Linked DNA regions of Mus musculus. Each later gene encodes a partner of the first gene's protein in a complex. Links are inferred from orthologs where the notes say so. Each region holds a gene or a part of one and is shown on either strand. Other genes may lie near its edges.

Region 1 (3,819 bases):
GACATCTTAGACCAGGTAGGTTTTTACCATTGGTTATTTACATTTAAAATGCCAGCTGTGGGGCTAAGGTCATAGGATGTTTGTCCAACATGTTCAAAGCCTTGGGTTTGATCATTAGCACTGCCAAAAGAAAAATGCTAGGCATGAATAGTTAAGAAGAAGCCTTCTCTTGTACAAGTGATTCTACCAGTAATAATTAGTTTTCTCACGTAAATTAAAACTTTTTGTCATTAATGGAAAGTTATATCTTCTATTCCCTGTATATATTAGACGCAATATTGTTTTGAAAACTGCTTTTTTTGGAGCAAATTACAATTTGCTCATTTCCCCCCTTTCCCCCAGCTTCTCCCAGAATTCCTCCCACACCCCACATGCCTTGATATGTTAGTGGTGAATGTTCTAATCTGCCTGTAAAATTAGCTTATTTTGTTTCCCCAAATCTTTATTTTTGTTTTGAAAAAAATTTCAATGTTGTTTAGGAAACAAACCTCATCAATGAATGCACATTTTCTCATTATGTCATTCCATATTATTTGGCCAATTCCTCCAATTCCTATCGGAGAAATCCTTAAAGTCCTTGAGGAAGATTTCCTATAATGTGACTCACTTAACATTTTACAAAAGATCTTAAGAGTTTAGGCAACTGACACTCTTTAAAGCAGCGCTTAACTAATCATGTGTACACTACAAATCTAGAATAGAATCATGTAGTCCTCAAAGAGAGGGTTGACCCTGATCATTGTCTCCATCTGATTGTCTACAATTAGACGTTGTGTTAAGAAATCAATGGATGTAACTTTACGCAGTGTTTTTCTATTGACCATTGTTATTGTGGGTGAAACATGCTATCCTAGCTATCAAGCTCTGTGCCCCCGAGTTGTTCTCAATGTGTGCATTACTCTCTTCAGGTGGATGTACTCTTGCAATTTGCTGAAATCCAGCGATTGCTTTTATATTTTATGGACCTGGCTTGTATTTATAAGATTATTCCTGACACATAGGTGATGAAGTCTTGGAATGGAATGGGAGGCTATTGCAAGGAGCCACATTTGAGGAAGTTTACAACATTATTCTAGAATCCAAACCTGAACCACAAGTTGAGCTTGTTGTTTCAAGGCCAATTGGGTAAGATGGTTTTAGCAATTTGCTTACTTTTAAATGCATTTGTTTTCTCTCTATGTGTATGAGTGTTTTGTCTGAATGCGTGTGTGTGCACATCATGCATGCCTGTGCACACAGTGGCCATGTTCCCTGGTGTTGGAGTTTTGAGTGGATGGTTGTACACCTGCATGTACATGCTAGGAACCAAGTCCTGGTCCTCGGCATGAACAGTATGTGCTGTTAACCACAGAGCCATTGCTCCAGCCCCAGTTTCCAGTTTCTGTAACTTATTTGTGTGTAAAACTGACTACTACTTAGCATCTTGGAGTGTGCAATCCAAAATTGTTAGACTTTTTTTTTCTTTAACCAAAATATTTGGCCACAATTAATGATTTTTCTTTATTTGATTACAATAAAATATGTTGTTGATTACAAAATAGAAAAATATCATTACTTTTAGGAAAAGTTTTAGTAGTCTTCTACACTCCAAAACTGTCAATCACTGTAGTCTACATATCTTAAAATTTTTTGGTTTTGTTTTTCAAATGGAGGCTAGATTACAGAGACAGAAACAAAAAGCATATGATATCCAGACCCAGGGCTCACTTAAGGAAAAGTAGTTTCTTTGAAAATGTGATTAATAAGATCAAAATAGGCAACATTAAAACTCACATTGTCATTGTCTTTATTGCAAATAGCTTATTTTTCCCAAATGTGGCAGTGAGGTTAGTCCTTTCATCTGTAGTATAAAGATTATTCATGACATGGCCTGCCAGTGCTTTCTCTGTAGAAACATATATTCTATAATATAAAAGACATATCAAAATTAAATTAGAAAAAATGTGTAACTTGACAGTGAACTATTGAGTGACTTATTAGATAATAAAATGGGAGGCAAGTGCCTGGGAATGGAGGCTGGAGAAATTCCTTCTTGCAATCATGCATTGTTCTCATTCACCTCGGAAATAATAGATTGGAGCCTTTTGACTCTTTAACGTTTGGAAATATGGTAAAACCATAGTGTGTTTATTTTAATGTTAAAGTATATAAAATTATATATTTAATATTTTAAATAATTTATAATCATTTATGAATGAACCTAGTTTTTGCTATCTACTTGTATATCAAATAAGTATAGGTATTTTTGATATAAATATAGTTACAAGGTAACTTTGAAACTCCTGGTATGAATCATGATTGCCTGATATCAATGTAACATTTAAAATTTTTAGTTACAATGCAATGTTTTAGTGATATTTGATTTGACTTCCAGTGTAATTTATTTAGAAAATAAAGCAAAAATAAAGAATTGCATTAATATATGCTTATAAAACTTACCTTATTGAATACAAAGCTTTTTTTAAAGAGTAGATTATATTCTAAGGTTATATAGTAAGGCACATAGAAAATAAAAGTGTATATTTTTATAAATGTGGTAAGATGCATATAGGTTTTAATTCCTGTTGGAGGAAGTTGTAAAAATGTGATCCCAGTCTTGGGAGGAAAAGACAGAACTGTGTGGCAAATTCAAGGCTGGCTTCACCTATATAGAAGATCTAGGTCAGCTTGCCCAGAAACGACCAAAAATTGTGGTTTGACTTTTATCATTTTCATAAATACTTATATACATATTTCCCAGTTTTCACTTTTTATTCCTAGTTTTATTGGAAGACAAGATGCTTCAGTTGATAAAAGTTTTTTTTTATATCTTTTCTATCATTCCAGAGATATTCCTAGAATACCTGATAGCACGCATGCACAACTGGAATCCAGTAAGTTTAATTTATTCTAGGATATGTCTTTAAGCATATCATTCAGTAGAGGTCTAGTGAATAAGTTTATGTAGTAATATGGAATAAGATAAGTAAATTTATAGCCTCACACATTAAATCGAATAAAAGTGGAAATTTTCATAGAATTTCACATCTCTGTTGAAAAATATAAAGCTCTGTAATCATTTCAATATTTTATTTTACCCCTGCCATGATTATTGTAGGTTTTTAAGGACCTTTACTAAGGTATGTTCTAATAAACTGCACATTAAGTATAGAGTGAGGCAAGTCTTGGCTGCCTATGTACTCATGTATCCCAGTGAAAAGTCATGACCATTTTTACAAAAGCTACCTACTCCCAAAGTTTCCCACAAAATTTAAAGTTTGCAACTTTGTAACGCTAATGATTTGTAGAAGGGTATGTTTGGAAAAATCTAGTGAATAGTTTTATTTATTTTAATTTATATTTTTCAAGATTAAAATAGTAGATCTAATTTTATATCACAGCAGTAATGGAACAGCCAACATGTAAGTTCAACTTTGTTTTGTTTTCAACTGCAATTTCTTATCTTAAATTAGCTGTTTTCTGATGAACTGTCTCTTTATTGGCTAAGAGTAGTATAAGGGATACAAGGAGAGAAGATCAGGGGTGCAATTTAAAACACAATGTTGAATAAGAGAGACAAAATTGCAAAGTAGTTTGGACAAAACTTCCAAGAGTGGCTGTCATGGTGGGCAGATTTGCAGGTACCTAGGTACAGATATCTGATAGTGCAGCGGTGCCGAACAGGGGACACTGATGTACAGTTAACACAGGGAGGACAGCGTAGCCAGATAAAGTTTGCAGGGGAGATTAGAATGATTCAGGAGCAGCAGCAGCAGCAGCAGCCACAGCATCAGCATCAGCAGCAGCAGCAGCAGCAGCAGCAGCAGCAGCAGCAGCAGC
Region 2 (4,581 bases), on another chromosome or scaffold:
TCCAGAGGACCCAAGTTTGATTCCTAGCACCCACAAGGTGGCTCAGCACCACTGCAACCCCTGTGTCAGTGACCTGACACCCTCTCCTGGCCTGTGTGGGCACCAAGCACTGAGGTGGGACACAGACATACAAGCAGAACAGTCACAAATGTAAAATAAATGCAAATAAATTTTAATTAGAGCAGCAGAGGGCTGTGAAGATGGCTGGGTAGCTACCATGCTCCTGAGGTGCCTAAGGGAAGTGGAGGTGCCAGGGTGGCCGCCATTCTGTCTCCAAAGCCTACAGGAGGAGCTGCTGATACATACCTCCAGGCCCTTCTCCAGGAGCTGCCAGTCTAAGCTGTGAGCTTAGGGCCAGTAAGACACTGCTACCAACAGCTACAATGATGAATAAGTGACCTGTGCATGAGGAACAGCATCCAGGGTTGTTCACTGGGCTTACATGCACAGGTGTGTGTGCTCAGACACACTCACATACACACACACTATCAGATACAGACACATACACTCAGACACACAGATACACAAACACACACTCAGACATAAACACATACAGACACACTCATACACACACACTTATACAGACACAGACACACAAGCACAAACACACTCACATAGACACATACAGACACACTCACACACACAGACACATGGACACACACAAACATACTCACATGCACACACAGGCACATGCAAACTCTGTCTTACACACACACACACACACACATTCCACACATGGAAAAAAATCAAGAAGCTCTGCACAATATCCCAGTGAGCTCCTCCTGCCAAGCCTGAAGCCATGAATTCTATTCCTGGAACCCACATAGTGGAAAGAGAATCAAGTCTGGAAAGTTGCCTTCTGATCTCCATGGGCGCTGTGATATGTGTGTGCCTCATTTCTACACACATAAACAATGTAATGTATAAAAAAAATTTTAGATTTATTTTGCTTTCTGTGCATGTCTGTGGATGGTTGGGAGCTACCATGTGGGTGCGAGGAACAGAAGGCTGGGGTCTCTGGAAGACCAGCTGGTGCTCTTAACCTCTGGGCAGCTCTCCAGACCCAATAAACGTGTGTTTTTTGTTTGTTTTGGTTTTTAGAGATAGAATCTCACTATGCAGACTAGGATGGCCACAGACTCGCAGAGATCTATTACGTCCATGGCCCGCAAGAAGTAAAGTTATAAAATGGGCAGAGATATGTGCCTGTGGTAGAGTATATGCCTCATACGGGGAAGGTAAGGCACATGTCTCGCAAGTGTCAGTACCCGGATTAAAAAACAAACAAAAAAACCAATAAACAAACAGCTTCCTGCGGCACTGAAGATGGGGAATTGACAGCAAATAGCAGTTCTGTTACCCAGGAGAATGTAAAACAAGAGCACAGGTTAGGTGGCTCAGAGAGGAAATAGAAACGTGGAGACCTAGGTAGGTGGAGCACGGACAGAAATACTCATCGAGGCTGAGCCAGAAAGCAAAGGGCTTTGAAACAGATACGACCTGGCCTGGACTCCCCGCAGTTTACGAGCCCTTTAAGGCGTCTGCCCGGCCCCGCCCCGTCACGCGTCTCCGGCTCCGCCCACGCCGCAGCGTCAGAGCGCGTCAGGCGCTGTCCGCGCCCCCGGTGCTGAAGCGACATGGCCGGCGGCCGGGCCCCGGCATAAGCCCTGAGCCCCGCGCTGCACCCGCCGCGCTCTAGCCGCCTGGAGTCATGTCTCTGCTGTGCGTGGGAGGTAGGTTCTGCGTGGACGCGGGAAAAGTGCGGGGTGTGCGTGGATGAGCCGAGTCGGGCTGCACAGCAGGGGGACCCCCGGTGCGCGCTTCAGGGCGCACTTGGATCAGCCCTAGGTGCTCTTCCTGTCACTCACACGAGTGGATGAGGGACTCGGGGCGCCTGTGTAGACGGTTTATAGGCCCTGGTTGGGGCTGAGGAGACGGCGGACCGTGCGCGCGAGGGTGGGGCGTTTAGGGGTAATGGGCCCGGACTGAGCGTAGGAGCAACCTCTCCGATCCCCAGTATGCCCTAAACAGTGCAGCAGGCTCCGCGGAAGCTCGTGGCTCCCTCTTCGCCTCACCCCTAGGGCTGGAGGAAGGGAAGGAGATGTGGGGGAGCAGCTATTTTGGGGCCAAAACGCCATCTGCACCGAGGCCCACGCCCAGGCCCACGCTCCGCATTTGGAGAGTAGGGAGGGAATAACGGGAGAGGTGTGACCCCTGCACCCCTCGAAGTTCCGGGTGGGGCTAGGCACGGCTGCCAGGTAACTCTACAGCGGGAGACCTTGGGCGACCGACTGGCCATGTAGCGATGCGTGCCGATACCGTTGTGAGCTCTAGGTTTGGAGGGTGGGGGGTGAACCCCCTACTCCCTTTCCCCTTCCCACCTCCAGGAAGCTGTGTAAGGAAGAGGGCGAGTCTCCATCCCCTCAGAACCCAGGCGGCGGGAGACCTGGGCGGCGGTGTGCGGATTTGAGCTCCGCGGCTGTGTAGCCCTAGATGGCCCCGCCCCTCTGCCCCTCCCCCTCCCTGTCCCCCCCTCCCCCTCCGCTCGCTGCTCCATTCACAAACCCGGCCCAGCCCGCCCGCGCCCCGCGGTGCATCGCTCTAGTCTGTTGGACGCGGGTGTTCTTAAAGGAGCAGGAACTCTTTTCTCTGACCCTGTGCCTCGAAGGTTCCGACTGCCCAGGATTACTGGGTATCCGCGGCTTCCAGACCTGGGAAGTAAGCGGAGCTGAACGTGAAGGGGATCCTCACCTCGGGAGCTCCCTGAATCCCGTGTCCTCCCATCCTGCCTCCTGGGGCGGGGGGGGGGGGGCGCGTCACCCCAACTCTGACGCAAACCGGAGGCTCAGCTGTGGGGGTGGAGGGCGTGCAGCCTAAGAAAGGAGGCTTCCAGAAAGCCAGGCCCAGGAGACATTTGTACTGAATTCCCTGGATACCATGGTGGGCAGAACAGGGAATGAAGGGTAGGGCTCTGGGGAGAGGAAACAGGCAGAGAGGTAGGGAGGTGCAGGTGGGGCCTGAGTGGGGCGCTGGGCGTGGTAAAGCTGGGCCTGGAGGTGTCCAGTGGACCTGAACTCACCCTCACAGTCAGGGAACACCTTCATTCCAACCACCCACGACCCTCCCCACGGACGCTTTATGGCTAGGGCTGCCATTGGATATATGGGGGCTCCAGGCTCCTCTGCAATGGAAGCTTCCATGTTGCAGATACAGATCTAGATTGTACACACAGGATGCTAAGGAACGTTTAGTATATACACATAGATAGGCAGGAGCTGAGGCTCAGTATGCATAGTGCTTGCTACAGTGCTCATAGCTCAGTTGGTACAGTGCTCATAACTCGGTTGGTATAGTGCTTGCAGCTCAGTTGGTACAGTGCTCATAGCTCAGTTCAAACAGTGATGCCCAGGATGCACAAAGGCCTGTGTTTCATCCCCAGCACTGCATACATCAAACCTGTCAGCACATGCCAATCACCTCAGAACTTGGGAGGCATCGGCAGGGACTCAGGAGTTGAGGCCAGCCGGGGCTAAACAAGCCTTGTCACACATACAGAGGAAAATGTAGGAAAAAATATCCCTTCCCATCTCAACACAGGCACATACTTGACCACACCTCCTGAAACACACTTGGTCACAGGCAGATACACTACGTACATCTTAGACCTGTGATCTCACCTGACTGTATGTAGGTATGAGGAGGTCAAAAAAACAATTTGGGGTGTCTGCTCTCTCCCTCCTCCACTGTGTAGATCCCAGATGCCTCGGCCATTAGGTTTGGTGGCAAGAAGTCTGCTGAGGCATCTCCCACTTTGTTGAGACAGACTCTCTTACTGAAACTGAGCACACAGATTGGCTGGCCAGGGGATCCCAGGATCCATTTGTTCCTGCTTCCCTAGAGCTGCGGTTACAAAAGACAAATCCAGTCTGACTCTCTAGGGGATCTGACTCAGGTTTTAGTTTTTTCATAGTAGCTAGCTTACAGCTCTTTCCTCCATTTAAAAAAAAAAAAAGATATATTTTAACCGGGCATGGTGGTATACACCTTAATCCTAGTACCTGGGAGACAGAGGCAGGTGGATCTCTCTGAGTTTGAGGCCAGCCTAGTCTACAGAGTGAGTTCCAAGACAGCTGGGGCTATGGAGAGAAACCCTGTCTCCAAAGATAGAAAAAAAAGAAAAAGAAAAAGATCTACAAACACAAACAATCACTATGAGAGAGAGAGAGAGAGAGAGAGAGAGAGAGAGAGAGAGAGAGCTGGGGTGTGGGTATAAATTTGTCTTGAAACTTGAATAGTACCAGAGTTGAACCTGCCCGTCCATCATAGTAACCCCACTACACAGACGAGGAAAACTGAGCCCCAGAGAGGTTCATCCACTTGCCTAGAAACACACAGCAGGGAGAGGACTCCCTGGCTAACTGTGGGCTGGGCAAGAAGGTTGGGTCAGGGTCCTTCAGTGAGGTGCCTGACCTCCACGGTCTGTTTCCTTCCTCCTCTCCCAGAATCCTTTGCAAAACGCAGTTCCCAGCTGCCCTACAGCTGACACTATCCAGCAACAGGGACCTGCCCCCTGCGACTGTC

What was found.
Region 2: the proteins of Rims2 (region 1) and Unc13a are in contact, whole or in part, in a crystal structure (PDB 2CJS), measured with the Rattus norvegicus proteins. The link is inferred for Mus musculus from reciprocal best matches to the Homo sapiens genes RIMS2 and UNC13A. Residues at the interface, in XP_063118965.1 of Rattus norvegicus: Asp102, Gly103, Cys104, Ser109, Gln112, Val123, Leu125, Ser127, Asn128, Lys129, Val134, Met135, Trp136; in NP_074052.2 of Rattus norvegicus: Tyr23, Ile36, Trp65, Leu69, Ile70, Trp71, Asp72, Thr73, Met74.

What each region holds. Positions count from the first base shown.
Region 1 is NC_000081.6:39,456,763-39,460,581, forward strand, and holds part of Rims2 (regulating synaptic membrane exocytosis protein 2), read left to right. Parts: coding exon 1-15; intron 16-1,001; coding exon 1,002-1,125; intron 1,126-2,826; coding exon 2,827-2,873; intron 2,874-3,819. UniProt on the Homo sapiens protein: Rab effector involved in exocytosis. May act as scaffold protein. Plays a role in dendrite formation by melanocytes.
Region 2 is NC_000074.6:71,668,778-71,673,358, reverse strand, and holds the start of Unc13a (protein unc-13 homolog A), read left to right. Parts: upstream 1-1,601; 5' UTR 1,602-1,711; coding exon 1,712-1,733; intron 1,734-4,581. UniProt on the Homo sapiens protein: Plays a role in vesicle maturation during exocytosis as a target of the diacylglycerol second messenger pathway.